4 linked regions of the Arabidopsis thaliana genome follow. The protein of the gene in region 4 interacts with the protein of the main gene of each other region in a pairwise test. Each region holds a gene or a part of one and is shown on either strand. Other genes may lie near its edges.

The links.
Region 1: the proteins of AT3G09250 (region 4) and AT3G26340 interact in a two-hybrid assay, tested with the Arabidopsis thaliana proteins (one large-scale study listed by BioGRID).
Region 2: the proteins of AT3G09250 (region 4) and ASE2 interact in a two-hybrid assay, tested with the Arabidopsis thaliana proteins (one large-scale study listed by BioGRID).
Region 3: the proteins of AT3G09250 (region 4) and MPPBETA interact in a two-hybrid assay, tested with the Arabidopsis thaliana proteins (one large-scale study listed by BioGRID).

Annotation. Positions count from the first base shown.
Region 1 is NC_003074.8:9,649,101-9,657,161, forward strand, and holds AT3G26340 (N-terminal nucleophile aminohydrolases (Ntn hydrolases) superfamily protein), read right to left. Parts: upstream 3,837-8,061; 5' UTR 3,700-3,836; intron 3,483-3,699; 5' UTR 3,473-3,482; coding exon 3,353-3,472; intron 3,248-3,352; coding exon 3,118-3,247; intron 2,912-3,117; coding exon 2,805-2,911; intron 2,294-2,804; coding exon 2,159-2,293; intron 2,051-2,158; coding exon 1,947-2,050; intron 1,824-1,946; coding exon 1,723-1,823; intron 1,625-1,722; coding exon 1,500-1,624; 3' UTR 1,216-1,499; downstream 1-1,215. Other genes in the region: AT3G26350 (proline-rich receptor-like kinase), read right to left, coding at 4,560-5,630; AT3G26360 (Ribosomal protein S21 family protein), read right to left, coding at 6,863-6,872, 6,978-7,273; AT3G26370 (O-fucosyltransferase family protein), read left to right, coding at 7,786-8,061. UniProt on the Arabidopsis thaliana protein: The proteasome is a multicatalytic proteinase complex which is characterized by its ability to cleave peptides with Arg, Phe, Tyr, Leu, and Glu adjacent to the leaving group at neutral or slightly basic pH.
Region 2 is NC_003075.7:16,572,540-16,579,951, forward strand, and holds ASE2 (GLN phosphoribosyl pyrophosphate amidotransferase 2), read right to left. Parts: upstream 4,215-7,412; 5' UTR 4,041-4,214; coding exon 2,355-4,040; 3' UTR 2,005-2,354; downstream 1-2,004. Other genes in the region: AT4G34750 (SAUR-like auxin-responsive protein family), read left to right, coding at 5,027-5,479. UniProt on the Arabidopsis thaliana protein: Catalyzes the first committed step of 'de novo purine biosynthesis from glutamine. Required for chloroplast biogenesis and cell division.
Region 3 is NC_003074.8:361,719-370,436, reverse strand, and holds MPPBETA (Insulinase (Peptidase family M16) protein), read right to left. Parts: upstream 4,889-8,718; 5' UTR 4,814-4,888; coding exon 4,142-4,813; intron 3,650-4,141; coding exon 3,485-3,649; intron 3,395-3,484; coding exon 3,257-3,394; intron 3,178-3,256; coding exon 3,026-3,177; intron 2,934-3,025; coding exon 2,825-2,933; intron 2,699-2,824; coding exon 2,600-2,698; intron 2,435-2,599; coding exon 2,369-2,434; intron 2,218-2,368; coding exon 2,106-2,217; intron 1,998-2,105; coding exon 1,903-1,997; 3' UTR 1,598-1,902; downstream 1-1,597. Other genes in the region: AT3G02100 (UDP-Glycosyltransferase superfamily protein), read left to right, coding at 1-475, 628-1,051, 1,150-1,597; AT3G02080 (Ribosomal protein S19e family protein), read left to right, coding at 5,276-5,359, 5,763-5,853, 5,939-6,122, 6,227-6,299; AT3G02070 (Cysteine proteinases superfamily protein), read right to left, coding at 7,305-7,351, 7,435-7,491, 7,608-7,692, 7,940-7,988, 8,089-8,162, 8,347-8,421, 8,530-8,584. UniProt on the Arabidopsis thaliana protein: Catalytic subunit of the essential mitochondrial processing protease (MPP), which cleaves the mitochondrial sequence off newly imported precursors proteins. Preferentially, cleaves after an arginine at position P2.
Region 4 is NC_003074.8:2,835,670-2,842,613, reverse strand, and holds AT3G09250 (Nuclear transport factor 2 (NTF2) family protein), read right to left. Parts: upstream 3,615-6,944; 5' UTR 3,535-3,614; coding exon of another isoform or gene 3,502-3,534; intron 3,361-3,501; exon of another isoform or gene 3,136-3,360; coding exon of another isoform or gene 3,127-3,135; coding exon 2,988-3,126; intron 2,874-2,987; coding exon 2,360-2,873; coding exon of another isoform or gene 2,320-2,359; exon of another isoform or gene 2,259-2,319; coding exon 2,196-2,258; exon of another isoform or gene 2,054-2,195; coding exon 2,029-2,053; 3' UTR 2,000-2,028; downstream 1-1,999. Other genes in the region: PYK10 (Glycosyl hydrolase superfamily protein), read left to right, coding at 12-89, 185-272, 371-626, 718-833, 923-1,140, 1,251-1,285, 1,368-1,470, 1,560-1,668 and 1 more; BSK9 (kinase with tetratricopeptide repeat domain-containing protein), read left to right, coding at 4,514-4,595, 4,695-4,915, 5,184-5,319, 5,425-5,558, 5,620-5,725, 5,811-5,896, 5,984-6,205, 6,288-6,434 and 2 more.

The sequences.
Region 1 (8,061 bases), 6.8 Mb from region 4:
AAAGAAAAAAAAAATAAAATAGAAATAAAGAGGAATGAGTGTAGTGGCAAAATAGAACAAATATTATTGTAAATGATAACCAAAACATACAAAATAATAACAAAAATTAAAAAATAAATAAATTATTTTTCTAAATAAAATATTAAACAAATTGAAAAAATTTATAAAAAGAACTACAAAACTACGTGAAACTAATATGGTAATTATAGTGAGTGGTCATTTGATTTTAGCTCTGTAATAATGAGTTCAAGCATAATTTGACAGTGCCTTTCCTTCCACACATACTATAATTGATGTATATAAGTAATCATGTTTGGCTTTAATATTTTTCATCCTACGTATATGCATTGACATTCAATAAGTAATTATGTTTACTACGTTATCATAAATTTAATTTTTAAGTTTTAATTAATAAATGTTTAATTTGTTTTTCTGTTTGTTCCTCATCAAATTTCGGAAGGAACAATTTTCTTCTTCGATTCCTCAAAAAATAAGGAATAAATAGGAATAGTGTACGATCCACATGTTATAATTTGGAAAAAAAATTACTGTTGAATGGTAAAGAAAAGAGGAACAATAAGGAACATGTTGTTCCTATCCATTCCTTTCCTAAAAAGTAGTCACCAATCGAAGCCTATCTTTCAATAGCATACCTTCTTGATTAATTGCTTCTATAAAAAAAATCAAGATCGTTTTAATTAATCTCTATATGTTTACAAAAATTAACAATTCTGAATTGTTAAAAGCATTATTTCAGAAGAAAAAGATGATGAATATAGAATTGGTTAGGTAATCCAAGATATTCTGACATTCACATGAATCACATGGATCACTAGATGCTATATGTCATCATATTTTCTTCTTCTTTGGTTTTTCCATAAAACCTTTAGTTGGATAAATAATAATTGGAAAAAAAAACATCACGATATTGTTTTCTAGTTAGCTACTTTTTTCTAAAATTTGAACTACCACCATAGAACATGGTATTTTATAATCTATACCATTCATGGGTCCTATGTGACTTAAAACGGTTAAAAACATATTAACAGTAAAAAAGCGCGGAAAATAGTACAACACTGTAAAAAAAAAAGTGGTAAGCAAAAGACATTCACAAACAAAACTTGGTTTTGATTGCAGCTAAAAATTCGGTTTGGATTGGTAACTTGTATCGTATGATGAATCAAGTGAATTAGTTTTATGGTCTCTACAAGTAATAATTTATTATCTTCTGTACAGTCACTTGAAAAGTAGTTAAGCATTAAGGGACATATTTTGGATACTTGTGTGTATCTACATTGTACAACAAATTGAAAAACAGAAGAAGAAAGAAACAGGTTATCTATTATGTTATCTATTATGCAACGTGATCATTGTGGCCAAACTAACGTCTACATCATTCGCAATACAAAAGAAACTTGAATCTATGATTCTGTTCATTGATGAACAAAACATAAGTGATGTAATAAAACTCTTAGTAAGATAGACAAGAATCACAGTACTTATTCGGCAGCCTCTTCCATCACATGTTCCGCGGTGATTGGAGCCACGGGGTAATAATGGTAATGTAGCTCGCCAACGTCGTCTCCAGAGAGTTTCGTCCATCCTTGCGGCCCAACGTGGTACACTGATCATACAGATTTAAGAAAGTTTAATACAAAATTTAAAGGAAAAGGATCACAAGATGATGATGTATTGGCAGAAGAAGTAAGGATTGATCTTTACCGCTAGCAACTCCACCACTAGCTCCATCACGGAATGTAGCATGGTAGATGGATCTCCTTGCTAACTCTGAGGCTTCTTCAACCGACATATCGAATTTGTATCTGTTAACAAAAAAAGAACCATAAGATTGAGTGGTTATAATAGTAAAGCAAGATCTAGTTTTGGTTTGGGCTTTGACTAAAAGAGAAGTAGGGCAATGATGATATCTTGAAATAGATACGTACCCGCTGTCCAGAACACCATAAGCGTATGGTGAACCTGAACCGACAGAGAATCTGTCTCCCTTAAGCCGTCCTCCTTCGTTGTCAACATAGTACAATCCAGGGCCCTATTTCAAAAAAGATTACAATTTTAGCATCTCGACTTTCGCTTTGGTGAGTGAAACTACAGACCGAGAAGGAAATAACAGTTAGGATATAAAGTTTAGGGTACTGACTGTTTCATCCCATCCAGCAATCATTGTGCCAACAGAAAGTCCCATTCCACGATATGAATAGAGCATGTTAGCAAGAAGCTTTGAAGCTCCTGAAACAGAGATTCTCCTTTTGTTTGCCAGCTCATGTAGACGGCACTATGATACACAAATAAAACACTCTCTATCAGGGTCATAGTTTCAACATAATCCAGATTTGGTATACAAGTTAGCAATCAAACTATTAGGATAAAACTGGGACTAGATTTTGGATACAAGAAATCAACGAAACCATTTGTATGCCCTTGAATACAACAACTCAAAACAAAAAGATTGATGCATAATGATATATAAATGTTTAGTTCACAGTACTGAGAAGCTAAAGCCACCACACCACGCAGAAAAATACATTACTAAAATTGAAAGAGACACACGTTCTTAGGTCACCAAACAGATAATAAAGACTATTCTTATTCCAGGAAACAGACGGATACAAAACGTTTTTAAGTCTCTAACAAATGACTCAACAGCTTTCGGATATCAATACATTAGCTATATGAAGTTATGAACAAAGGGAAGGTAAGAAGTAACCGGATTGCCACAGCAAGGAAGATAACTGATAGACCCAATCATCAATTCAGAAAGCTAACAAAAACTAACGTTAGGGTACCTTAATTCCCAGATTTCTGTGCCAGAATTGACAATCAGCAGCACCACCAGCCATTGTACCAAGCATATAAGGATTAATTTCAATAATCTTCTTCACAGATTGCGACGCTGAATGGAAAAACACAAACAAAACATCAGCAATCACAGAAATTTCTCCTTTCTTTTACTGTACAGTATCACTGGCCAACACAACAAAGATTAGAAATTTCTATAACAAGAATCTAACTCATTCTCCATTTTTAGGATCCTTTAGAGAGCTCACAACTAAAACACAAACAGAAATCTGAAATAAACATAACAAAAGAGAAACATACAGATATATCCTCCCATGCTAGCTCGAGAATCAGCAGCTACCATAACACCTTCCTTAAAGATAAACGCAAGTGTAGTTGTACCCTTTGCAGGCTTCACCATCTCCACAGCTTTTTTCTGAAACCCATCAAACTAAAAAACCAACAACAAACAAAAGCAACATATCACAATCAAATAAAAGCAAAATCAAAGTATATTGGAATCCGAAAGAACTCTAATTTCGTAACTAAAACTCACATCAGTGGTACGAGGAAGATCAAACGAAGGTGCAGACGAAAACCCATCAAGCATCTCACTGTTTGATCCAAAGCCAATCACAGGCATAGTTGTCTCCAATCCACTAGTGTCAAGCTTCATTGTCAAATTTCTACAGAATCATCGAATACCCACAATTATTCAATAAAATTATGCAAAATCATGAAGCTTGAGAGGTACCCAAATCAGGGTATTAACAAAAAGAGCTTCCTTTCACAATTCAAATCGGATCTAGCACGAGATTACTTTTGTACGTGTGTGTATAAACCATAAACCCTAATACTTCATTGTAAAGTCAAAGTAACGACAATTAGGGGCCTGAGACATACCTGAAGAGCGAAATCGAGTAGAAAATTAACGAAGCAGAAGAATGTGTGAGAATTGGAGAAAAGAGAAGCAAATTATGGAGGGATGTTTCTTGAGCTCTGGGCAAACCGAATGCGAACGGGGCAAGATATGGGCGATCGGGTCGGGTTGAATCATTTCGGGTCATACCGCTTAAGTTTAAAGACAGAACAGTGTTCATTATGTTGGGCTTCATGGGCCATTATTGGCCTTTTCTTCTTTTTTTTTTTTTTTAATTTCCTTGGTTATATGAATATTAGGTATATAACTTTTTATTAATCATTTGTTATTCAAATAAATTTAGTAAGACAAGTCAAAATATTTGGATCAAATTTATCAGGTATTATTCGTTTATTATTTTATTTTATTAGTTGGAATAAAGTGTTATTTTAATCAAATTTTTATGGATTTTACATTGGACTTTAACAGATTTTAAAATGTTTATGGTTAAACATACAAGAGAAATTGCCTCATATAGCACCATATCAAGATTTTTGGTTCATATCTAAAAGTTAAAAAATTTAATGTTAATGTTTGGTTTTAAAATCAACAAGGCATTCCAAATCCTATGTGCATTCAAAATTAATAAACACCTCCTTAAACTTAAATATTAGATAGTATTCTTCTCTTTCCGTGTGAAATTTATAAAGTTAAAAGTCTTAAAACAGCCTCTTAAGTTTGGAACATTCTAGTTTACAAAAACTAACGACGCAATTAAAAAATGATTAAACAATTAACGATTCTTGTAGACTTGTAATACCAATAAATACAGAAGATTAATTATTTCTAACAGTGGCAAAAAAAGGTAAAAGAAAAAAAATGAGCAAACGCAATTGCAAAATCGCTAGCGTTTGGTATTGCATCTTCTAGCTCGCATAGCTCCTAAAGGAGGACCATTCAATGAAACGCTGCAATGAGTATGCAACTTATAAGAGTACCTAAACAATGGTCCTATATGCGAACGTGCATGAAACATTCCTCTCAGGTTCAACAAAACCGGACCTGTTTCAATCTGACGCTGCAGCTCCCGGCTCTGCGTTGCCTGAAGCTGGACCTGACTGCTCACAAGATGAACATTCGCAAACATTGACGTTTTCTTAGGAACCTTGAAAGGTTCAATGTATTGAGTTGCTATGAGTGTGTTGTAATAGTAAAGCTCGAATGTCACATAGCTAAACTCCACACTACTTTTCTTGCTTGGGTTTGTGACGTTTGCTAAAATGGTTAGATCACCGTTTAGAAGAAAACCCATGTCGAGATAAGCAGCGTTTAGGTTAGCAGCTGAGATGTCGACGTAAGGTGAGCGAGGACGGTAGACGAGGTAAACGATTAGGATGATAAGACCGCCGAGAATAAGAATGACCCAGAATATTGCACAGCAAAATGCAGCTGACCATGTCATTGCGTTTGTCTCTCTTGAGGGTGGTGGTAACCGTGGGCCACGGCGGTGATGCGGGGATGGTGTTGGAGCGGTTCTCCATGGACTTGGTTTGGGTATTGGAGGTAATGTTGATCCATAACCCCCTCCGTTGCGTTGTGGTGCTTGTGGTGGTGGAGGTCGTTGTTGTTGATTATCTTCAGGGCTTAATAGCAATGGTCTTTTCGATGAGTTTTGAGTTTTTCGTGGTGGAAGTCTCTCCTCTGGGCTTAATGGTACAGGTATTACAGAATGTTTCGGTTCTTGGATTGGATTTTCACGGTGGCGACCACGAGTCTTGATTAGGATTCCTGGTGGAGCTACTGGGTGAGGTTGCGTGGTTTTGTGGTGCGATTTTTTTGGGTGCGGAATGGGCGGGATGTGTGGTTGGTTCGAAGATGTTTGTGAGGTAGAAGCACCACCGCTTTTGAGATGTGGATTCTGCGATGGAATTCGCGCAAAATGAGGGTTAGTTTCATGGTGATGATGATGAGACATTTAGATGAAGAAGCTAAAAAGCATCAAAGGAAACTAAGTTAAGTAAGACTTGAGATGAAAGAATGAGAACAGAGAGATTTTGAACTGTTTTAAGTTTCTAAATGAGATAGAGAGAGGGAGAGAATAACTTGGTGACAAGTTCAAGTAAGGATTCTTTGTTGTAGAAAACAAAATAAAGAAGGAAAGTGATAGCACGAAGCAAGTAATCTTTGTTGTAGATTCCTTGCACTAAAATTAAAATCAGTTTCTAATCTCATGAAAAAGTATAAAAACATTCTCTGTATCTTTTTCTCATTCAAAAGTTTTTTTAAGAAAATTGTAATTACTCGGTCCAATTTATCTAAAACCCAAATAAAAAGATCTCGATTTTAGGAGAGACAGGGTTAAGGACTTACAGTAACAGTCATGAATATGTCAATCTTTCTACTTCAGCTCACTCCAGGGGAAAGATGTTGATTCTCAGAGCAACTTACGAAAACTTGTCGAATATGTCAGTAAACTATGAACATGTTAAGATATGTCTCCCATAGATCAAGAAGGCCGCAGATTAGTTAGCGCAAATCTGATGCGAAACACGTTGCTTCTGCAGGTAGATACTCTGTTCTCTGCTCAATTTCTGCAGCATCAAACATGAAACCAACTCTGCAATGCCGGTTACTGCAAACGTTGACAAAGACAACTACCAATCGAGCCTGACCAAACAGATACTAGTAAAAAAGCTGGAAGCAAACTGAAAACTAAACCCATACAAAAGGTATTTTCCACGATCTTCGGTGCAATTGTTCTTCCTATATCTCTTATCCCCATTCTTTGGCATGGCATGGTATATAGTAACATGAATATACATAAAATGAAAGTGTAAACGCCTGGAAAGAGCTAACCTACGCTTTACACGCGAAGAAAGCAGAACAATCTCAGAGTAATCATGGCCGGAACAAGAAACACAATTCAAGCACAGAGACCCACAGAACACAGTCATACAGAGTGCAGGAGAAGCAACGCACTTGCCCTGAAACAACTTTCAATACATGTACTCCTAAGATCTGATGTTCTTTCTCAAGATCATTGAAAACTTACGAAAGAGAAGCCATAGAGTAAACAACTAATCAAATCCAAAATTCCAATTCCACATTGATTCAACTCATCAAAAGTTCAAAATGTAAAACTGTGTTATATCACACACAGATACTAGTACTGATCAACATAGCAGCACTCTTGCTTCACCTCAGCTCTCATAAACCTCTGCAAAGAATAACAATAAGAAATACGCAAGATCTTACTAAACTAAACAACACCATTAAAACCCTAAAAAATGTGAAGCTTTTGAGAAAAATCAGAAAACATTACCTGACTTTCTTGATGAGGATTGATTGGAGTTTTCGAGCAAAGTCAATGGATTTGATTCTGCGTTCAAGATTCTTCCTAGCGAGAACCTTCTTCTCCGAATTCTTAATGTGATGAGTCTGAGTCCCTTTGATCAGCCTCTCCATTCCACTCGATTGCATCTTCTTCTGCAAAATCGTCAGTGCCTTGTCTAAATCATTGGAGAACACCTTCACTCTTATCCCTCGCTCTTGCTGCAACTGCTGGTTTAGACTCGGACGAGTCACCAACCCCGTAACTCGCTTCGCTATCGTGTTCATCTCTTTTACTTGTTTTCTGAAAAAGTATGTTTCTGAAAACGTAAATGAGATTGACGAGAGACAGTGATAGGATCTGAATTCGACTTACCGGTCGGAATCTCGCCGGAGAGAATCAAAGAGCCAATTTGAGTGATGATGGAGAATGTCTAGGTTAAAAAAGAGGCGATGGAGGAAATGAGATAAAAACCAGAGAATTTACTAATATAGGGGTGGTTATGTAAGTTTTATGAGATATAGGGATGTTTTTGTAAATATCCTTAAATCTAATCTTCTGTTTGATTCAGAGAGTATTGACTTTAAAGAAGAACATTCAAGCCTTTCAAAAAAAAAAAGCTTCTTTAATTTCTCTCTCTCTCTGTGGAGTGTTCGAATCTCCAAGCTCTCTCTCAAATGGCAGCGTCCACATAGTAGAGCTGAAGAAGCACTGTATCTATCTACAGAGAAAGTGAAGAGGAAGAAAAGGAAGAGAGGATATAGAAATTAAGCTGGCGACTTTTAGTCCGAGGCGAGCAATGGCAGAGTTACGGCACTCGAGCTCTCTCGGTAGCCGATCTTCTTCTTCTCCGTTACGTGCCGCCGGAGATGAGGATTCTTCATCGCCTCATGTACACGATCACTCTCCTAACGGCGGAGACGACGAAGATGGTCGCCCACGTCATCCTTCTAGAGATCGAGACCGTCCGATCTGGTTTCACTCTTTGTTTCCTTTCTTCGGTGATGATCCTAGGGTTTCTCCTCAGAAGAATAAAATCTCGCTTCTATTGATTTTGATTCTCGCTATTGCTAGC
Region 2 (7,412 bases), on a different chromosome or scaffold from region 4:
ATACCAAATCTATATAAAGATGATATGAAAACAAGTTGAATATTTGGAATCGCTAACGACCGAAGCTGGATCAAAAATCCGGTTAGTTTCATATATTTTATGTAAATTTAGTATCAAACGAAACAAAAAAAAAACAAAAAAAAACTTTTTAAAATTCCAACAAAAAACTTCGATACCAAATCTATATAAAGATGATATGAAAACAAGTTGAATGTTTGGAATCGCTAACAACCGATGCTGGATCCAAAATCCGGTTAGTTTTCCATATACATTTCTTGACGTAAATTTAGTATCAAAACAAAAAAAAAAGTCATAAATTTTTTTAAAAATCAGAATAAAAAACTTCGATACCAAATCTATATAAAAATGATATGAAAACAAGTTGAATGTTTGGAATCGATAACGACCGAAGCTGGATCCAAAATCCGGTTAGTTTCATATATCTTTATGTAAATTTAGTATCAAACAAAACAAAAAAAAAAAAAAAAAAAAACTCTTAAAAGTCCGAACAAAAACCTTCGATACCAAATCTATATAAAGATATGAAAACAAGTTGAATTTTTGAAATCGCTAACGACCGAACCTGGTTCCAAAATCCGGTTAGTTTTCCATATACATTTTTTACATAGATTTAGTATCAAAACAAAAAAAAAATCTAAAAAAAGAAACACAAGAAAAAAAATCTTATAAAATTTAAAATCTTTTATTAAAGAAAAAGAAAATTAGGAAAGCGCAAACCTTGGTTCTCGCTGGTGATGATTATCGATCGATCGATGAAACACAAATTTGTCTTCTTCCTCCGCAGTCGAATTGTAGTTTTAAAGCCTACGAATCTGCCAACTGGTCGTTAATTTCACTATCCCTCTCTTGGCCATAGTCTTCCGCGCATCCTTCTCCGTCGTGTAATCATCTCCTTCGCCGCCGTTGAAAGAATCCTTCGGTGAAAGCGTTTCGGTGGCGAGATCTTTGATCGTGTGAAATTAGGGAGTCACGAACTAAAAAGTGAACTCGATTGATTGAAGATTGTTGTCACGAGAGAACGAAAGCACATCAGTGATCAGTCTCTCAGGGAAATTGCAGGTATGAAAAAGAAAGAAGAAGAAGAAGAAGAAGAAGATAAAAGATGGTATTTTGATTTCTCAACGAAGAAGAAGATACGAGAGTTGGAGTATTTATAAGCAAACGCTCCATTGAAAAAAGGAAATTGTCTCTTTTTTCTATGTTTTGCGAAGAAAAGGAAATTGATCAATGTAACAAAAAGTCAAATTAAGTTACCGTTACAAGAACAAATATGTTTCTTACTACCTACGTAATTTATTTGATGTTCACAAATCACAATTTAGAGTGTTTGTTGAAAGAGATGGAACATCAACAAAACAAGCCTTGTAAAGTAACACAAATCTATAAAAGTCAAACCTAGTCATGTATTAACATAATGCTCGAAACAGAATGAAAAATATGCCACTAGCACAATCTTACTCAAACTACAAGCAAATTCACAACACAACACACACATCTCCTAAACGTATCACTACCTTTCCAAGCAAAAATTTCGTAGAACTCGCCACAAGCACAAGCCCCCATAAACCAGTTGCTCTGCTTCCGTTTGTAATGACATGGTCAAAATGTCAATGGCTTATCTAGTCGGCTTACTCTAACTTTCGTGTATCTCATATTTGAAACAGACAAGCTCACCATTCAAAAGCTTGTTTAGCTGAACAACACTCAAATGTATCACCGTCGTTTACTCAAACTCATATAGGAACCTACCTACCTAAGACTAGCTTCTCAATATCCAAGCAACAATGTCTGATGATGGAGGAAGAAGAAGTGAGATTGATGGGTGTGTAGAAACTTAGGCATCGTCACAATGGTTCCTTAATCTCGTAAATTCCTCTGTTTTGTGTGTTTGGATTTGAGGAAGTAACGAAACAGAACAAATTTATCCATTGTTCTGAGGGTATAGTTGTCATTTGGCACCATCTACGGTGACGTGGAATAGTTCAAACCATATTCAACCGAAATAACCAAATCGATAACCGAATCAAATTTTAGTAAATAGAGAGATGTCTCTCATATACCACATCACCCATTACATTTTCTGATTAAGTAAAGTGCAATGAAAACAGAGAGAAGATTTGAATTCTTAACGAGACAAAAGTAAACAAAACCTTTCAAAGATTCAGACAAGAACAACCCTTAAATCTTAATCCATCCCAGACTCAATAAAATAGTAAAAATGTGCCAGCAATTAAGGTCAAATGGAACACAAAATTCAACAAGATATCGTCATCATCTTACTCCATTAGTACCCAAAATTGATCATCATAATGCAGAACTTGAATATCTGCTATCTACCGTACCCAACCTCCTTCAATGTTGTGGATTCCTCCAACGAGACCATCATCGATAAAATCTCCTCCTCGCTTCACCTTATCCTCTGTAGGCTTCACCGGATAGTCCCCCGTGAAGCATGCATAGCAGAAGCTTCTAGAATCTTCCCCCAAATGTTTCTTTAACGTCTCAAACGACAAAAACGCAAGGGAATCACATCCGATGTAATCCCTGATTTCATCAACACTCATCCTATTCGATATCAACTCATTTGAGCTAGGCGTGTCCACTCCGTAGTAACAAGATGCAATAATAGGAGGACTCGCGATCCTCATGTGAACCTCTTTCGCACCCGCTTCTCTCAATAAACGCACAATCTTGGACGAAGTTGTTCCTCTAACAATCGAATCATCAACAACAACAACTCTTTTCCCTTCTAAAACTCCTCGGACTGGCGATAGCTTCAGCTTCACTCCAAAATCTCTGATTTTCTGAGACGGCTCAATGAAAGTCCTTCCAACATAATGAGACCTAATCAAACCTTGCTGAAACGCTACACCAGCTTTAGCCGCGTAACCAAGAGCAGCCACAACACCCGAGTCAGGCACAGCGATCACCACATCACAATCAACAGGTGACTCAGTAGCTAAAATCTCACCAAAGACATGCCTAGACTCATACACAGACCGACCAAAGACAATCGAATTAGGCAACGAGAAGTAAATATGTTCGAAAATGCATTGCTTTGGCTCAGGATGAGGCATCAAACACTGACATTTGACACCATCTTTATCCACAACTAAAACCTCACCAGGATAAACCTCTCTCTCATAAGTAGCTTCAATCAAATCAAGAGCACAAGTCTCAGAAGCAAACACAACAGCTCCATTACTTCTCCTACCCATAACTAAAGGCCTAAACCCATGTGGGTCACGAACAGCAACAAGCTTATCCTCAGTCACAAACACCATCGAATAAGCACCTTGAAGCTTCTCACAAGCATCAACAATTCTCATGAAAAAGGGTCTAGCTTTAGAAATGGCAATCAAATGAAGCACAACCTCAGTATCAGAGCTAGTATTGAAAATCGAACCATTTTCCTCTAAATCAGCTCTCAATTTCGTGTAATTCACTAAATTGCCATTGTGAGCAACACCAACAGAGCCAAATCGATAACCAGCAACAAACGGCTGAACGTTCTTGAGCATAGAAGAACCAGCAGTCGAGTACCTGACATGACCAATGGCTATGTCTCCTGGTAATTGATCGAGTTTGGATTCACTGAAAACCTCAGAGACCAAACCAACACCTGTAATGGTCTGAAGAACCTTATCTTTACTAACGGTAACAATACCTGCACCTTCTTGACCTCGATGCTGAAGCGCATGGAGAGCTAAGTAACAGAGTCGTGAAGCTTCTGAGTCACCGTAGATTCCGACAACTCCACACTCTTCCCGAGGCTTCTCGTCATAATCATCGTTGTCTGCCGCCAACAGGGTAAGAGGGTTTGAAACTCTGAGCGGAAACGAAGGAGAAGAAGAAGAAGAGGAGATAGAAGCCGGAAGAGGAGAGAAAGAGGAGGAGGAGGGGTTAAGGAAGGGATTACGGAGGAAACGGTGAGGCTTATTGTTGTTGTTGTTGTTAGAGAGCTTGTTGGGTTTAGCATTGAGAGATAGAGAAGAAGAGATGCTAGAGGTGGCCGCCATGGATGATTTTTGAGAGCAATGCGAATAAAAATTTGCTCTTTTAGGTTTATTTTAATTTTCTTCTGATTTGTTTTTGGTTTTGGGGTCAATTTGGGGAAAGGGTTGTATTTGACTGTGTATGTATAGCACACGTCGTCAGTGAAGTGACCGCCTCACCCTTTTTTTTTTTTTTTCTGCGAATCTTTTTAAACAATTTTTCTTTCGGCTTTAAATTCTTTGTACTTTGATGATATTTTAGAAGAGAATCTCTATTTTTTTCGTGGTGGGTCCCCTTTTCTGTGGCTCAAAATGCATTTTTAAAACGAAACGGGTCGGCTTGATACAAAGCGGGTCGGGCGCACACAATTAGAGAAAAGCAATTCTTAATTCATCAAACCAAAGCCATATGGGCTTTTCTTTGAGGCTTTGTAAAAAGCCTGCTCTTTCAAATTCTTAAGGAAAATCAAATAAAGAAGAAGATATCTGAGTATTTATTAATTTTCTTTTATGTGTTGAGTAAGATATTATATATTAAAAACAAAAAAATTGATATATGCATCAATTCAATATTCTTACCAAAAAAAATACACACAAACCAATTATGAAAAGTTGACCAATTTTGTTTCTGAAAAAAATTTGTTAAAAAGAATGAAAACAAAAACAGAGCTATGAATCTTTTATTTATAAGATAAAGAAGGAAAAAAAAAGAGAAAAAAAATCAAAAAACCATAAATAGAGAAGAGTAAAATCGTAATTTAGCAAACGTTAGAGGGGCAAAATGAAACCTAAATGATTAACCTTTAAATACCGTAACGCTCCCTTCAATATTCCCCTGCTTGCCGTATTATTCCAAAATTTGGTGAAAGCAACGCCTAAAGCAAAAATGTCTCTTCTCTAACCTTTTTTTTTTTTTTTTTTTTTTGCTCTCCAACTTTCCCTTCATTTTCTGGGGAAAAGCGAGCCAAAAAACGCAAAAGCAATCCACAAGAAGCAATTGTTCGATATCAATGGGGAAGAACAATAAGATCGGAAGCGTTGTTCGGATCCGTCAGATGCTTAAACAATGGCAGAAAAAAGCTCACATCGGATCTAGCAACAACGATCCTGTTTCCGATGTACCTCCTGGTCACGTTGCTGTTTCCGTCGGTGAGAATCGTCGGAGATACGTTGTCCGTGCTAAGCATTTGAACCATCCGATTTTCCGACGGCTTCTAGCTGAGGCTGAGGAAGAGTATGGATTCGCTAACGTTGGTCCGTTAGCGATTCCTTGTGATGAATCGTTGTTTGAGGATATTATTGCGATTGTGACTCGGTGTGAGTCGTCATCATCATCTGGACGAGGTAATCCTCCGGCGGCGACGCTTGAGGATCTCCGGAGGTGTAGTCATGTTGGATTGGCGAAGAACAACGTTGAATCTCGTCCGTTACTTCCTGGGATTGCTGAAAAATCTGTGTGCTAATGAAATTTGCAAACGGAATGTGATTGAAACTTTGGTTAGAGATTTAATTTTGAAAGTTTTAATTTAATTTCGTTGCTATTTTTTTTAATGATTTTTGACTTTGTTTTTGGGAAGGAGATGGCAAAATTAGGGTTTGATATTGTTTTTGGTTGTCGCCAGTGTCGTCGTCCCAGAATGATGAAGATTTGATGAAGGAGATAGTTTTTTTGGAGAGAGGAGCCCTCAGTTTTTAATTTAGATATTTTTGATTCTGGTCGAGAGATTCTTATTTATATTTCTCTTGGCTATTTTCAATTTGTATATTCAGATTTCTGAATTTTAACTGAGGAATAATAAATTAATTTGGAATTATTGTTGTCAATTTATTTGTTTATTGCTTAAAGAAAGATGCTTTTTGATTTTCTCATTATAGTTCTTGACTTCTTGTTACCGAAATATTTGGTCAAGAAGATGATTTCAAACCTAATTTGCAGTTTATACAACCAAAGATGATCTGCAAAATACCTTTCTGATTTCAGAGTTACCGTTTCAACACTATTTTCACTAATTAGAGTAACATTACTTAACAAAAACAGTAAACATCTCTGATTTGATATGAGAAACCAAAGAAAGTAAAGAAAAACCAAGTTACATTTTTTACCAAAAAAAAAAAAAAAACAAGTTACATAGAAAACAAAGATATTATATATATGATTCTCACCAAAAAAATATATTTACGTTTACTATATGAAGAATAGCTACTAAGTCAATATCATACAAGCAAATTAATGTTTGTAGATATCTATGCAAAATTATGTGATATTATTAGCTATACTGGTGTATTTGAAAGAGAAAAAAGTTATATGTTTGGTCAAAAATACCTTCATAATAAATGTAAATGTTTTAGACCGAACATTTTTAATCACATTAGAAAGTACTTTTACTTGTGGAAAATTAGAAAATAAATAATCGTGGACTATTTGTCTCCTCTAAATTTTAAAATTATCTCTCCCTACCTTGACCAACATTATCTAATTTCCATTTGTACGGTGTACGTGGTACGTACCTCCATCAAATCATATCACCTAAATCTTACGCTGATTTAACAGTTGGGAGTATCGCCCACTTGCATTTTCTCCACCTTCTAAGAAAAACAAACATATGACTTTAGTAGGAGTATAAATTTACAACAACGACAACAAAATAAAGTATTATCTACAAAGATCATCTCGGATAAGCTTAGCGTTGTGAGAAATGACTAATGATTGTGAGAAATGACCCTCTTCCTTCATTTTAAATTGACCACGAACGTGATCAACTTCTTACTTACTGTTTCCTTTGGGTTTTCACTTTTACTATATAACCTAATGTTCTCTAAGGATGAATTGATGATGAACACATACTGGTCTCTTTCCACTTTTTTAATATGTGATCACTAAAAAGGTTCTTTGCATAAGCTCAGTGTTGGAGGTTTTTAGAAAATTTTCATGATTTAAGAGCTATTTCCTTATAGATAATAACTATTTTGTTTCACTAGCTAGAGAAGAGTATCCGGATTTCCGAGTATATCGTAGAAATTAACCAATTAATATTCATTAAAAATTGTTGACAGATTGATATTGTGCTTTTACTAGACAGGAATATCTTGGTAAATCACATTGCTTTTGCGTGAGTATTCATCAAAGCACTAACTAAGCAATTCAATGATTTTTAACTCATCAAGAATATCTTCGGAAAGTTACTATTTTTAACCCATCTTTATTAGATTTTAGTTAACTATCATACGAAGCCATTACTTTTCGAAGGTTTTCGACCATGGCCCTGCCAAGATTCGTAAAATATGGATCGGATTAAAACTGATCCTGATTTCTCTCCATAGCCTAAAGATCGGTCAAGGCGACACAAATAACATCGAGATTTAATATATAATCTGAAAAAAAGTCGTGCAGACCTA
Region 3 (8,718 bases), 2.5 Mb from region 4:
ATACCTTACCCTGCACAAGGTCATGTTCTTCCTCTAATAAGTTTCTCACGTTACCTTGCGAAACAAGGAATCCAAATTACATTCATAAACACCGAGTTTAACCATAACCGCATCATCAGTTCCTTACCCAATTCACCTCATGAAGATTATGTTGGGGATCAGATCAATCTTGTTTCAATCCCTGACGGTTTAGAAGATTCACCAGAAGAGAGGAACATTCCAGGGAAGTTGTCGGAGTCTGTTTTGCGTTTTATGCCTAAAAAAGTAGAGGAATTGATCGAGAGGATGATGGCAGAAACTAGCGGTGGTACGATCATTAGCTGCGTTGTAGCGGATCAGAGCTTGGGATGGGCAATTGAAGTTGCAGCTAAGTTTGGGATCAGACGCACCGCGTTTTGTCCTGCTGCAGCTGCGTCTATGGTTCTTGGATTTAGTATTCAAAAACTTATCGATGATGGTCTCATAGATTCTGATGGTAAGAACAAATATAACCTTTTGTTTCAAAATTTAATAGTATCATATTAAGTGATGTTTTTGGAAAATGGTCATGTTTTATTTTATTTGATGATTCATTGGTAGAAGAATTTTGAAAAAGATGCGTTATATAGCTATTGTTTCTTTATGTAGGGACTGTGAGAGTAAATAAGACAATTCAACTATCTCCCGGGATGCCAAAGATGGAAACAGACAAGTTTGTGTGGGTTTGTCTGAAGAACAAAGAATCTCAGAAAAACATATTCCAACTTATGCTTCAAAACAATAACTCGATCGAGTCAACGGATTGGTTGTTGTGTAACTCTGTCCATGAACTTGAAACTGCAGCATTTGGATTGGGCCCGAATATAGTACCAATTGGGCCCATTGGTTGGGCTCATAGTCTTGAAGAGGGATCCACGTCACTAGGAAGCTTTTTACCTCATGACCGGGATTGTCTAGATTGGTTGGACCGGCAGATTCCCGGTTCGGTTATATATGTTGCCTTTGGGAGTTTTGGGGTCATGGGCAACCCTCAGTTAGAAGAGCTAGCAATTGGTCTAGAGCTTACCAAGAGGTAATGATTTGGACATAACCGGGTTTGTGTGTTCCGGTTTACCCTACTTACTCTATGCGTGTCTATTATGTAATAAGTTATGTTGATCCATTCACCAGGCCAGTTTTGTGGGTCACTGGTGATCAACAACCAATCAAACTTGGGTCGGATCGAGTCAAAGTGGTGAGATGGGCTCCACAACGGGAGGTCCTTTCTTCTGGAGCCATTGGGTGTTTTGTGAGCCATTGTGGATGGAATTCAACTCTGGAAGGAGCCCAAAATGGCATACCATTTCTATGCATCCCTTATTTTGCAGACCAATTTATCAACAAAGCATATATATGCGATGTGTGGAAGATTGGATTAGGACTTGAAAGAGACGCACGAGGAGTGGTTCCGAGGTTAGAGGTTAAGAAGAAGATCGATGAGATCATGAGAGACGGTGGAGAGTATGAAGAACGAGCTATGAAGGTTAAAGAGATTGTGATGAAAAGTGTTGCAAAAGATGGAATATCTTGTGAGAATCTTAATAAATTTGTCAACTGGATCAAATCACAAGTGAATTGATAGAGTTTCACAAGAAGAAATGAAATGTATCCAATTCAAGTTTTCAACCAAACATCAAAGAACTTATTAGTATGTGTATGGGAAAATTATGAAGAGAACAAAAAAAACACACACAGAGGATCTCTAGCATTTTTCCAGTAGAGGACAAAGAGTAAATGGTACACTTATTTTACCAGCGATGATGGTAAATTATGAAGATACAGTAAGAAAAACTCAAAAATAATGAATCCATCATCACCTCGTTCTGCTCTCTCCGCCTACGGAATCTCCCCGTGGGCGAACCTTGCGATTCAGTGACCTTTATTTCAGAGCCTTAGTACCGGTTCCAGTAGGTTCTGCGTCTGAATTTGTTGTAGTCTGGCAAATCTTGGATTGGACCAATAGCTGAGATTGCAATGTCCTGCACATAATCCCAAAAATCACCTTAATCACTCTTGACGTTTGTACTCTTGTTTAGCAGTCTAATCCTTGGAGGATAGAGAGAGCAAGAGGGAGAGAGAAATAGAACTTACTTTGTCATAGATATATTTGTTGGCAACACGTTTTACCGTGCTGGCATCAACAGCATCGATCCTAGCAAAGAGTTCAGCGGTTGGGATTCTACGCCCATAGGTCAGCAGCTGCATTTAGAACAAAAATCCAGGCGTTTTATTAGAATGATTTTGAAGATAAACACCAACTATAAGGAAAGTCAAGGTTTGTTATCTTTGACCAATGCATTTATAAACTTATAAGTTCTAAATTAAGATGCTTAAATGATTCATCGCATACCTGACGACCAATATCTTCAGCAATTGGGCTGGTTCCATCCATGTGAAGTAACAATGATGATTTCAGCTGCAGAGAAATTTAAAATCAGTTGGCATTTAAAATCTATCTACAAATAAGTAAGGAGTTCGAAGAAACAGGAGGAAAAGAAAAAAAAAACTTTAAACAGATCACATTTGTAACTAGCTTAAAGCTGAATCTTGGGAAAGAGAGAAAGAACAGTTGGGCGTTTACCTGATTTCGTGCACGTGTCACATCAGCGTCTGAAACTCGGTAGGCCAGCTTGGTTACCTCATACATAATGGCATATGATAAATCATCCAAGCAATCGGCCTGAAAAAAGTACCTTACAAGATGTTAAAAGAGATATAATACGAGGCATTCATGAGATGAAACTGCTAATATTGACAAATACAAGAAAGAGATGAAACTAAGATAGCTATGGAGTTCTGGGTTGACCTTGGCAACTGCATAAACGCCGAACAGTCCAGTATCCTTGTAGTTAGTGTTGAATGCCATTATGCTTTCTGCTATTTCATTAATGGCAACCCTCTGGGTCAGGTCAGAACTGCACATAGAACCATAATGTTCATCAACACATTGCGAAATAGCTTTTCATTAAATCCATCATTAGAAATATTAGCCAGAGAGTAAACTCACCCCACGTGTTTTCCACCACCAACATTTTTGTTCCACGAACCCAACATAGTTTGCATAACCATAAGAGCAACGGAATCTGGATCAGTCCAAGATGCTCCCTCAAAGGCAACAGCAAATTGTGCAAGGGGTAGGTCGTCATCAATCATTCGGACCTGAGAAGAATTTCACGGACTAAAGAATTTAGAAAGATGGAACATTGCATATAACAAAATCATATGGTTGTGTCCTTACCTCAGAACCAGTAAAACTAGCAGGTTCATTGGCAACCAGTTGAGAAGTAGTTGTTGGATCAGACGACAACTTGGTAAATAGCTTCTTCACTTGCTCAACAACTTCCTCATGCTTAACAGCTCCTGCAGCAGCAATCACCTGAAAATGTTTTGGATGAACCAAGATAAGAATCCTAAAAAATTCAATAAGTGATTGTAGGAAATGATAAGAAGTAACCAAAATCTATACCATCCTGGAAGCAGTGTAGTGAGTCTTAATGTAGTTCTGTAGATCCTCTCTGGTGATCGATTTGACGTTCTGAGCAGGTCCCAAAATAGTTCTTCCAAGGGGTGTGTATTGGAATGCAGTGGCATGTAAATGGTCAAGAACCACTTCATCGGTTTGTCCCTCCACCTACGACCAAACCAATTATCAAAAAACTAAAGCTTAATGTGTATTCTATCTTTAACTGATTAAAGAAACAAATAACTCTAACCAACACGTAGAGCAGAGTACCAAGCGCTCTAGTATCTCCCTTCATGCACATTTCCCAACAACAATACGACCAACATATGACTAAGCCAATAAAACCAAAACATGCGAGAGATAATCCAAAAACAGAACAAAGTTTTCATTTTTAGAGCAATGGTTTATATAAACACAATAACATCTCTCTATAGAACATGTGCTTATGCCAATACAACCTTAAAAAAAGGGAAGATAACTTAAGAACATACTAAAGTTTTCATTTTTAGGCAGGCACACGGGAAACTGAAACTAAGGGTATTGATCTAAAAAAACACAAACTACGGTCCATAGTACCACCTCACTAAAAAAAAACGAAAGATAAATCGAGGACAGAACAAAAAGTTTAGTTTTTTAAGTACAGAGATAACAAATACATACCTCTTGCATTTCCCTGAGGATGACATCTCGTTCGCGGTTAATTCTCTGTTCCTCGAACTTAGAATTCTGTAGGATATCAGCCAAGACATCCAAAGCCTGGTTCACATTGGAATCCAAAACCTTAGCATAATAAGTGGTCTGTTCCCTCGATGTATACGCGTTCAGGTGACCACCAATATCTTCGATCTCTTCCTCCAACGCTCTCACTGTACGCCTATCCGTGCCTTTGAATATCATATGCTCCAAAAAATGAGCCGTTCCGTTGGTCTCATCGGACTCAAACCGAGATCCAGCGTCGATCCAGACTCCAACGGTGGCGGTCTTAGCCGAGAGATTTGACTCAGTAGCGACTCGTAGACCATTGGGCAAGGTAGTGACACGAGTCTCCGGAGCTGACAAGATGTGATTGTGGGAAGCGAGGATCGGATGTGGAGATGCGTATTTAAGGAACCTCTTATCAGGATTCTCGAGCTTCTTGATCTTATTTTTTATAATCTCAGCCGCGTGGTCGTATGGCATAAGATGCGGCGGCGGTGGAGATAGAGCCGTCGGAGATGCGGAAGCCGGCACCGAATCGATAGCTGAAAACGAAGAGGAAGATCGTGTGGCTTGAGTGAGGAATAAACGCCTCTGAGATCGGCGAGCTAGGGACAGTAGATTCTTCATCGCCATGGCTGATGATGGCTTCTCTTCGCTCTCTCAATCTCTCTAGGGTTTGATTAAAAAGCCAAAAATGGCAGAGACGACTTGAGATGCGAACTAATAGCCAGTGGTTAAGCGATTATAAAACGACGTCATTTAATGTTACTAATTAAGAACGGTGTCGTTTAGGACATAATACTAGTCAACTGATATAATAAGGCCGTAGTAGGCGCATTATCGTATCAAAGAACATTATTCATACTGGTTAGATAGTAAGGCCGTATGAAGAATTAGGCCCATTAGTGTGGGCTGAGAACGGGTTGGATTTTTTGACCCGGATATGGGGAGAAAACCCTAATCGAAATATCGTGGCCGTATATATAAGTTTTGTTATTGGAGAATAAAAACCCTAGTCTTTGCGGAGAGAGATTCAGCTGCGTTGGGCAAAATCCCAGACGAAGATCAGTGATTAGTCTTTTGATAACTTGAGCCATGGCAACTGGTAAAACTGTGAAAGACGTCTCGCCTCATGACTTCGTCAAGGCTTATGCTTCTCATCTCAAGCGATCTGGCAAGGTTAGTGGATAAAGTCTCTTCTTTTTTGTTTGAGTAGAAATGTTCCAAGCTTTATTTGTATGTACTCGAATAAAGATGGATTAAGCTCAAATTGCAATGATTTCCATTAGTTCATAGATATTTCTGTTGATTGTTGGCATTTCTCTATAATACTTTGAATTGTGTAATGTCTGTTGAATGTATTGAAATTTTGTATATGTTGCTAATATTTATTGAATCACAAGTGTTACTCTTAGTATTTGTTAATAGACAGCTTAAGATTCAAATGCTTGGGATTAATATTGTGATTTGCTTTGTTACGTCTGTTGAATTAATTTACACTAGCAATTACAATAGCTTGAATGTCAAGCTCCACTTTTTACAATTGTTTTGGTTTTCACGAGACCATAATTGTTTGTTTCAGATCGAGCTTCCCACATGGACAGACATTGTGAAGACCGGAAAGTTGAAGGAGCTTGCACCATATGATCCTGATTGGTACTACATCAGAGCTGGTTAGTTCTCTTTCATCCTAGTTTGTCTCTTATTATCTCTATGCGTTTATAAAGTTTTCAATTAGCAAAATGACTTCTTGTGCAGCATCTATGGCAAGGAAGGTTTACCTGAGGGGAGGACTTGGTGTTGGTGCTTTCCGTAGAATCTATGGTGGAAGCAAGAGGAACGGTAGTCGCCCACCTCACTTTTGCAAAAGCAGTGGTGGTATTGCCCGTCACATCCTCCAACAGCTGGAGACAATGAACATTGTTGAGCTCGACACCAAAGGGTAACATTACTACTACTACTACTACTACTACTACTACGTTAGAGGTGTTTCTCTTTAAAAATGTTTTTATGCTAATACTAGTATCACTTTTGTTCTTCTTTCAGAGGAAGAAGGATCACTTCCAGTGGCCAAAGGGATTTGGACCAGGTTGCTGGCCGTATTGCAGTTGAACCTTGAAGATCTTAATGTTCTTTTTTGTTCTTCTTCTACTTTTGAGGCCATTGTGCTTTTAGTGTTTATCTTTACTTTTAAGAATTGTTACCATTTCATTCTCAAGACTTGCGCTCATAATGTTCAAAAATTTATCTTTTTGGCGATGGCTTTGGACATTGAAACTTATGTCTTCAACCGTATTTTTGTGTTCGTCCGATTTAAGGATAATAGGATATGGTTTCTTCATCCCTAAATTGCTAATTTCATCCTTCTTTAGTGCCACTAATCTCACTTTTATGCTTCACTTTTAACCGAAATTTCTTTGAGAGAAGAGAAGCAAAGATTAGATATCTTCATCACATTATATTCTTTGTTGTATTCTCTCCATTCATAGGCAAAGAGATGTCATCTTTCTTCAATATCATAGCTAGCTTTTGGTTTCCTTAGAGATAGCCTCGACCTTTCTTATTCCAAACTAGCAATGATGCTCTCTGTTGCTCTCGGCGGAAGATGTAGCCAGTCCCAACGTACATTGGACTTTGAAGTAGTCCATCCAAAACTCTCATGAATCATGATACTAACATGAAAGTAGACAGTGTTGTAGTTCGTATAACGACATGGTCTGCGGGAGATAAACAGTTCATCTTTCAAATGCACAAGAAGAAATTTCGAAGGACAAAAGGACAAAACTGAATCTTATATGGATAATATGATTTTGGACTGGATAATTCATGGAAATCCAGGTTTCATACCAACCAAAAACTTCCCTTATTGCTTCTGATAAGCTTTAAAAAGGGCCCATCAAATTCAAGAGATTCTCCACTAAGGTTATGGAAACTGTCATATTTTCTTTGTCTCGGTCCGACTATATCATATTCGGCTTTAAAATGTTACAGCTCAAGCGAGTTCGTAAGTAGTATACAGAGGTGTAAAGGAAGAGTTTTCGCGTATGAGACGGTAGACTTATCACAAACTGACTGAAAAATAGTTGAAGGGTCTTAATATAATACATGTATGGTGGCGTGCCTTCTAGAACAACCAATGTTTTCTCTTTGGCTTATGCTGAACTGGAGCAGCTACACTCAAAAAGGAAGATCATAATCAGTGTCATCAAGCACAAAGCCACCATTTCGTTACATTTCCAAAGGACAAAACAAACCTTGAATATCGTATAAAGAGTTATAATGCACCTCTGACCAGAAACTTAACCATAACACTGCACAATAGCAAACATAAAGAGTCACAACTTGTAAAACTGTATTTGTCAGATGTCACTTCATATCAAAAAGCGATATGCGAAAGTGAAAGGAAACTTTTTTTTTGTAGTCTCACCACCCTTAGGTGCTTGGTATTGAGGTATAATTTCAATGAAACAAGTGTCTCTAAAGGATGTCAGCAAGCATATCTTTGCTGCAAACTGCACAAAGGGAGATGCAAAGGAAATTTTGTTAGAAAAGAAAGGAAAATTACTGGCTATTTCTCATAAGCACTAGTCCTAGTCTGTATGTGGTTAAGTTACATGGCCTCTCAGGAAATGTGAAGTGTTAATCTATGTTATGTAAACATCCAAATGGAAAAGAATCACAATTTTGTCTTCTTGAGAACTATAATAGCCATCAGGTGATATGAGAACAAAGCAAAGATCATTATTTAAGGAAACTTACCCTATCTGCCGCAGCTTGTAGGGTAATATGGTCTCCCCATTCTCCAAATCTGTCATTTAAGTAATTATGAGTATGAAACAGAACATTCTCAAACAAACAAAGTGTAGCTTATATGCGTAATGAGAAAAGAATCTGTTTGCAAAACATACTTTCCCATCTTCTTGTAATATCGTTTGTATTTCATCGGAACATAACTTTCATACATAGAACGACACTCTTTGAGCTGCAATAAGAAGAAAAAAGAACAACTAGGAAAATGAGATACGAAGAGAGATGTGAGCACCTAACTTTCAAACAGATATAAGAATAAGTCCAACTGCTACAATGGATTAATAATGAACATAAAACACGATCATATAGTAGATGGCTGCCTTTGTTCATCGGTCAGAACTCATAAGACACTTCACCTGTTTAACAACTTCTCTCCTCACTTGCTTGTGGTACTCTGGAGATCGGTATAACTGGTCAGAAAGGGCTCGGAACTGAAAAGACACTCACAATTCACAATAAGATATAAAAAACCGAGTAGAGGGGGAGAGAGAGAACAGAATGAGATGAAGAAGATTGTTTCAAATGTAACCTCCATTCACCTGGCAGTTTCCATCACCAGAGACCTTCAACTCACACAAACCGTAAACATTTAACCTACATAGACAATTAAACTTAAGAATTAACAATCAACATCTGAAAGAAAGCCTCATACGGTATTACTCTCAGTTTGTCTTTCTAGGAACAAACACTATACAATGATTACACTAACATATTCACAACAATAGTGA
Region 4 (6,944 bases):
AATTTTATCAGATGGGAGAAAGGAGAAAGGAGTGAGTCAAGCTGGTGTGCAATTCTACCACGACCTCATCGACGAGCTCATAAAAAATGGTTACATATATTAATCACTTAAAAACGAAAAAAAAAACATTTATAATCTCTTACGTATTAAACTTCTCTAATTTTTTATTTTTTTCTGTAATTAGGTATAACTCCATTCGTTACTGTTTTTCACTGGGACACTCCACAAGATTTAGAAGATGAATATGGCGGCTTTTTAAGCGAAAGGATTGTGTAAGTTTTTCTGTTGGAAAACGAACCCCAATCACTTTTTGTTTTCTTTGATATGCGAATATAAATGGTATATTCAACAATTTTTTGCAATATTGTAGGAAGGATTTCCGAGAGTATGCAGATTTTGTTTTCCAAGAATACGGTGGAAAAGTGAAACATTGGATCACTTTCAATGAGCCATGGGTTTTCTCGCACGCTGGCTATGACGTAGGCAAAAAGGCACCTGGTCGTTGCTCTTCTTACGTCAATGCTAAATGCCAAGACGGACGATCAGGATACGAGGCTTACCTTGTCACTCACAATCTCCTTATCTCTCACGCAGAAGCAGTTGAAGCTTACCGGAAATGCGAAAAGGTACATCACATATATAAATCATAATTAGTTATCTATCATCTTTCGGATCTGAAAATAGTTTGTTTTGTATTATGTTAAATTATGACCATAGTGTAAAGGTGGGAAGATCGGAATTGCACATAGTCCTGCTTGGTTCGAAGCACATGACCTTGCTGATTCACAAGACGGTGCGTCCATCGACCGTGCACTTGACTTTATTTTGGGATGGTAAGTATAAGTTATAACATCCCTAATTAATTAGTACTATACTAAATATCTTGAAATTTTATATGACGATATTTTGATGGTTTTTGTAGGCATCTAGACACAACTACATTTGGAGATTATCCACAGATCATGAAAGACATTGTTGGACATAGATTGCCTAAATTTACAACTGAGCAGAAAGCAAAACTGAAAGCTTCTACCGATTTCGTTGGGCTCAACTACTATACTTCAGTGTTTTCAAACCATTTGGAGAAACCTGATCCTTCAAAACCAAGATGGATGCAAGATTCTCTTATTACATGGGAGTGTAAGTTTGTTTTGCCCTTACTTGAAACCGAACCAAGAAAACCAATGGCAACAAATCAAAGGGAAAATGTTTGTTTTTGGTACTAATCGAAACCTATCTCTTCTTTTCAGCTAAGAATGCGCAAAATTACGCCATTGGTAGCAAGGTATAAATTTAATAGCAATCTGAAATTTTTATGTGCTACATTTGTCTATGATGCAACATTCTCACCTCTGTTTTATTTTCAGCCTTTGACCGCTGCATTGAACGTTTACTCGAGAGGTTTTAGAAGTCTGTTGAAGTACATTAAGGACAAATACGCAAATCCGGAAATTATGATCATGGAAAACGGTAACTAGAGATTCTATTGTTACTGTCAACTATTATTTGGTTGATTTTATCTTAGAACTAAATATATTGATGTTGATGTTCTTCTTTAGGATATGGAGAAGAACTAGGGGCCTCAGATTCTGTTGCTGTTGGTACCGCTGATCATAACAGGAAATATTATCTTCAGAGGCATCTTTTGAGTATGCAAGAAGCTGTTTGGTATGTCCTATTTCCTTTTCATCTGATATACTAACAATTGTAGTGAAGAATCTAATAAAAACATTTGTGTAATATCTGCAGCATCGACAAAGTGAATGTTACAGGATACTTTGTATGGTCATTGTTGGATAACTTCGAGTGGCAAGATGGTTACAAAAACAGATTTGGACTCTACTACGTTGATTTCAAAAATAACCTCACACGTTACGAGAAAGAATCCGGCAAGTATTACAAGGATTTCCTCAGTCAAGGTGTTCGTCCATCCGCGCTCAAGAAGGATGAGCTTTAAGCTATTTCTGTTTCAATGTGTTTTTCCTATGTTTTACTTTGTGAGTGACCAAGATTCATGAGGTCTTGGTTCTAATAAAAAGAGTTTATTTTTCTTCTCATTTTTCATTGTCTACATGATTTGCCAGATCTACAAGGCTCTGGTTATAATAAAATGATCCTTTGTGCCTCTTCTAGTACAAACGTCACAACTTATGCCTCTTCTCGTTTGTGTGGCGTTTTCATTCCCAATCGCCAACCTCAGAAATAAAAAACAGTCCTTCATCACCCTTAAGCAAACCACCAATGTATCCCACCGCAACCTCCAAACGCATATAAAAATAAAACGTTTTGAAAATGTGTATCGTTTCTTCGATTCTTTGATCAAATATCAACAGGAGAAGCATGGTGAATGCATATAAACCATTGTCCATCGATCCGTTCAAACACATTCGACACAAACTGAGCTCCCCAACTACTACTCCCTTTCGTCTTCACAAACTCCATACACGTTACATAACCTACTTCTCCTCGGACATGAACCTCGACATCTTTCAGCTCAATCAGTAACGGAAACTCATAGTTCATCCACACAAGCTCCCAGCTTTCCATCACGTAATCATAACCAGTTATGCCTTTGGCCCCTGGATGTACACAGCACGGGTTTCCTGATTTTGACCATAGTGATTGCATCGCAGCTAAATCCCCGTTTCTGAAAGATTGGTAGAACCGAGAATTGGCTGATAAAACAGAGGCTTTGTTGTCTTCTTGAAGCTCTTTTAGTTTATCACGGATTTTAGCTGCCTCCACATAATTCTCTTCCTGGACCGCAGTCTCGAGATCTTGCTTCAACGTGTTCTCATCCATTGAAATGCTTTCAACATCCGCAGTTTGGTTATTTTCTTCGCGTTTGACTCGACAAGGCCTTAAACGGGAGCCTGCTTCAAATGTTACCAGAACACTAATCAGAACCAAGTCTAAAGAAACCGGTCTTATCCAAAACCAGATCTTCTACTAGATAAGATGCTCGAACTAAAATCAAGTAGACTCACACGGTTCTTTGTTTTGCAGCTTGAGATGAGCTGACCCAAATGTATTGCTAGCTGAAACCATGTTGCAGTGAATCGGATAAGATTTAGGCAAGTGAAGCAGCCTCATGGAACCACCAAACGGAGAAGTGATCTCTACCATGTTTGAAACCTATCAGGGAGCAAACGATTCAAGGCCATATTAGCACAACAATAGAATCACATAACCATTTGCATCAAGTGGAGTAGCAACAAATTCGGATATTGAACATCTCAGTGTTGAAATTCAAACACTTTCTGATCGAATTTCTTCTAGGGTTTAATCTTAGTACAATACCTACTAATCCGTAAGAATTCTCACACCAGACAAGATTAGAACTCTGTATATGAACCATAAATCATCCAATATCAATGGGCTCTTATTGAAAATCGACTAAATTTCGAGATTACTTACGAGAAACGTATGATAAACATTTAAGTATAGATTAGAGCTGAAGAATCAAGGAAGTAAATCTCAAAGAGAAGAATTATAGCTTACTTTACAAAAAACTCCAGACCCATGAAGCGCCATGGTAACAAGGAATCGAAATATTCAAAGAGATTTCACGGAAAATCGAGTATTTGATCAATCATGCAATGTGATTATGTGAAAGCACAGAGAGGAGAGACTTCAGACTCCAAAGATAAAATTAATGGGCTTTGCATTAGGGCCCAAGTTTCATCATAAATGGTCCGTAAGCTAACTTTTATTTAGGCCTATACTGATTTTATTTGTTTTTTAATCTATTTATTTATTTTTATATAAGTCACCTAAAAACGAGCGTCCCATTACAAACTAGACTTTTTTTGTAGAGTGAATTTTGCCAGTAATGAGCGAAATATACCAAAACGATTTGATAGCGATATTTGCTTAAATGTAGTTAAACGTATGGATGGATTAAAAAAAAAAAGGTTAGTGTGATGGATATTACACACCCAGTCTCGAAAAGCTGCGGTAACTAGCAAAAATTAATTTTAATGAGAATTTTTCTGTTTTTTTTTTTTTTGGTTACAACTTAAATGAGATATTTTAATTTCGGTTTAAACGTGAATGAAATGTATGTAAGCAAAATCCATTGAATATAGACTTTAAAATTGAGGCTAAAGTAAAGACCAAACTCAACAGTCTAATGATTATTTACCAAAATAAAAACCTGTAATGTTTATGCTCAAAATTAATCTAATACCGAGTAATTTAAATGGAACAAGCAAACAATATTTTCTTTAAATTAATACATAGATCATGTCGACATTTTATCCTTATAATAGTATAAAGGTTGATCTTTTCAAAAAAAAAAAAAGTATATATTGGTCATCAACTATTTAATTATGTGATATATAAATAAATGATATTTTTGGGTCTATTTTACCACTTTCTCCGTAAAACTTTCCAACAATATTCGCTAGGCAAAAAAGAAAAAAATAATAATTTATTTTCTCCCTGCAGGCGGGAGTTTTTAACCAAGCACTTGAAAAGTTTTTCTCCACCGGAGAAACTACTGTCGCCGGCGATGGGCTGCATTTGTTTCAAACGTTGGCGTCGATCGTCTTCTCCGTCGATAACATCCACCATCACCGTCATCGACGATCTAGGTAAAATCCAACGAATTCGCCAGCCACTCCTCCTATGCGTTAATTAGATTCTGAAGAAGACGATGATCGAGAGAACTAACCTAATAGTTTTGGCTGCAGATAATAAAGAAGAAGATGAAGGAAGTACTTGTCCTAATTTCCTGGAGTTCAGCTTGGAACAGTTGAGAGTCGCAACTGACGGATTCTCCGCCGACAACATCGTGTCGGAGCACAACGAGAGGGTTCCTAACATCGTCTACAAAGGCCAGCTCAACGACGGAAGAAAGATCGCCGTCAAGCGGTTTCAACGGCTTTCATGGCCTGATTCTTTAGAATTCATCGTTCGTGTCCTTTACCCATCAATACTTATTGATTCTTCTCTGTTTGGTTTTGTATAAGATTTGACTAGTGATCGCTTATTCATCTGATTTGACTTTATTGGTTACTAACTCCGTGATACTTCTCTTGAATGTTGCAATGTTCTGGATTCTGATTTGTTGCAGAGGAGGCAAATTTCAAGTCTGTTTGACTTAGTAAAGATTCAATTCGGTTCTATGCTTGATCTGTTGCAGAGGAAAATTTCTTGAATATGGCATATTTGTTATTCAGGAGGAAGCACAAGCTGTAGGGAGATGTAGGAGTGAGCATATGGCCAATTTGATCGGTTGTTGCTCAGAAGGTCACGAGAGGTTGCTTGTTGCTGAGTACATGCCTAATGAAACACTTGCTAAGCATCTCTTTCACTGTGAGACTCAAACATTTCAAGTTCTTGATCTCTTTTGGCCTTAAACTTTACTTTAGAGTTTCATTATTGTGTCTAAGTTGTTTTTACTCTAAAATGGTTTTTCAGGGGAGAAAAGACCAATGAAGTGGGAAATGAGGTTGAGAGTTGCGTTACATACTGCAACAGCCTTGGAGTACTGTAATGATTGGGGAATAGATTTGTATCACGATCTTAACACCTACAGAATATTGTTTGACAAGGTAAGAAACTTCATACGCGGTTTGATGTTATCATAAGTTATTTATAAAAGTGATGGAACAGGTTGGGAATCCTAGGCTGTCTTGTTTTGGTCTCATGAAGTGTAGCCGAGAGGGAAAGAGCTATAGTACCAACTTGGCATTTGCTCCTCCTGAATATTTACGTCTAGGTATGTGTTTTATGTTTAATTTTCTTGAGAGAAAACTTCATCAGCTGAAATCTCAAAGATGTTTTTCTTTTACTTTTATTGTTAGGTACTGTGATACCGGAGAGTGTCACATTTAGCTTCGGAACCTTGTTACTGGATCTTATGAGCGGCAGACATATTCCACCAAACCATGTAACTTTCTTCTCACAAAGCAAAATGTGTATATACATAATGTATCTTTAGCAGTTTCATTGATTTTTAGCTTATCTGTCATTTCAGGCACTTGATCTGTTCCGTGGTAAAAACTATTTGGTGCTAATGGATTCAGCTCTGGATGGTCAATTCTCTGATGAGGATAGAACAGAACTTATCCATCTAGCTTCCCGCTGTTTGCGCCCTGAACCAGACGAGAGGCCAAGCATAAAGTTTCTTATGTCAGCTCTTTCAAGACTTGAGAAAAGAGCTGAGTTATGGCCCAACGTCAAAGAAGAAAACATCCCTGTAAGTCATTACTACATTAAATCTTCCAAGGTTTCGGGTTCTGCAGGCTTTCTTATGTGTACATGGGACTTAATAATGACAGACTCCATCATACACTGAACCTGCAACAAAGGAGCCATTGCCCTTGACCCCTTTCGGAGAAGCATGCTGGAGAGTGGATCTAAGTGGTATGCACGAACTACTCGAGAAACTCGGGTATGGAGAGGATGATGTGGTGGTCACAAATGAGGTACATTATATTTTTGAGAAACATATCTCTTTTGACACATCTCAATATCTCATCATGAGGAAAAAAATATTGCTGCAGTTCTCATTCCAAATGTGGACGGGTCAAATGCAAGAGAATATGGATTACAAGAAGCACGGAGATGCCGCATTTCGTGCTAAAGATTTTGAAACCGCAATCGAATTCTACACAGAGGTATCATTTTGAATCATCAAGAAACCGTCATCTTTTACCAGCAGAAAATACAATAGATATAGATATATGAATTTTTTCCGTATGTACAGTTCATGAGTGGAGCACCAGTGGTATCACCAACAGTATTAGCCAGACGGTGTCTATGTTACCTAATGAGTGATATGTTCCGCGAGGCTCTAAGTGATGCGATGCAAACTCAGGTCGCATCGCCAGAGTTTTCGATCGCTCTCTACTTACAAGCAGCTTGTCTTTTAAAGCTTGGGATGGAGGCTGAAGCTAAAGAAGCTCTTAGACATGGCTCTTCTCTCGAAGCTTTTT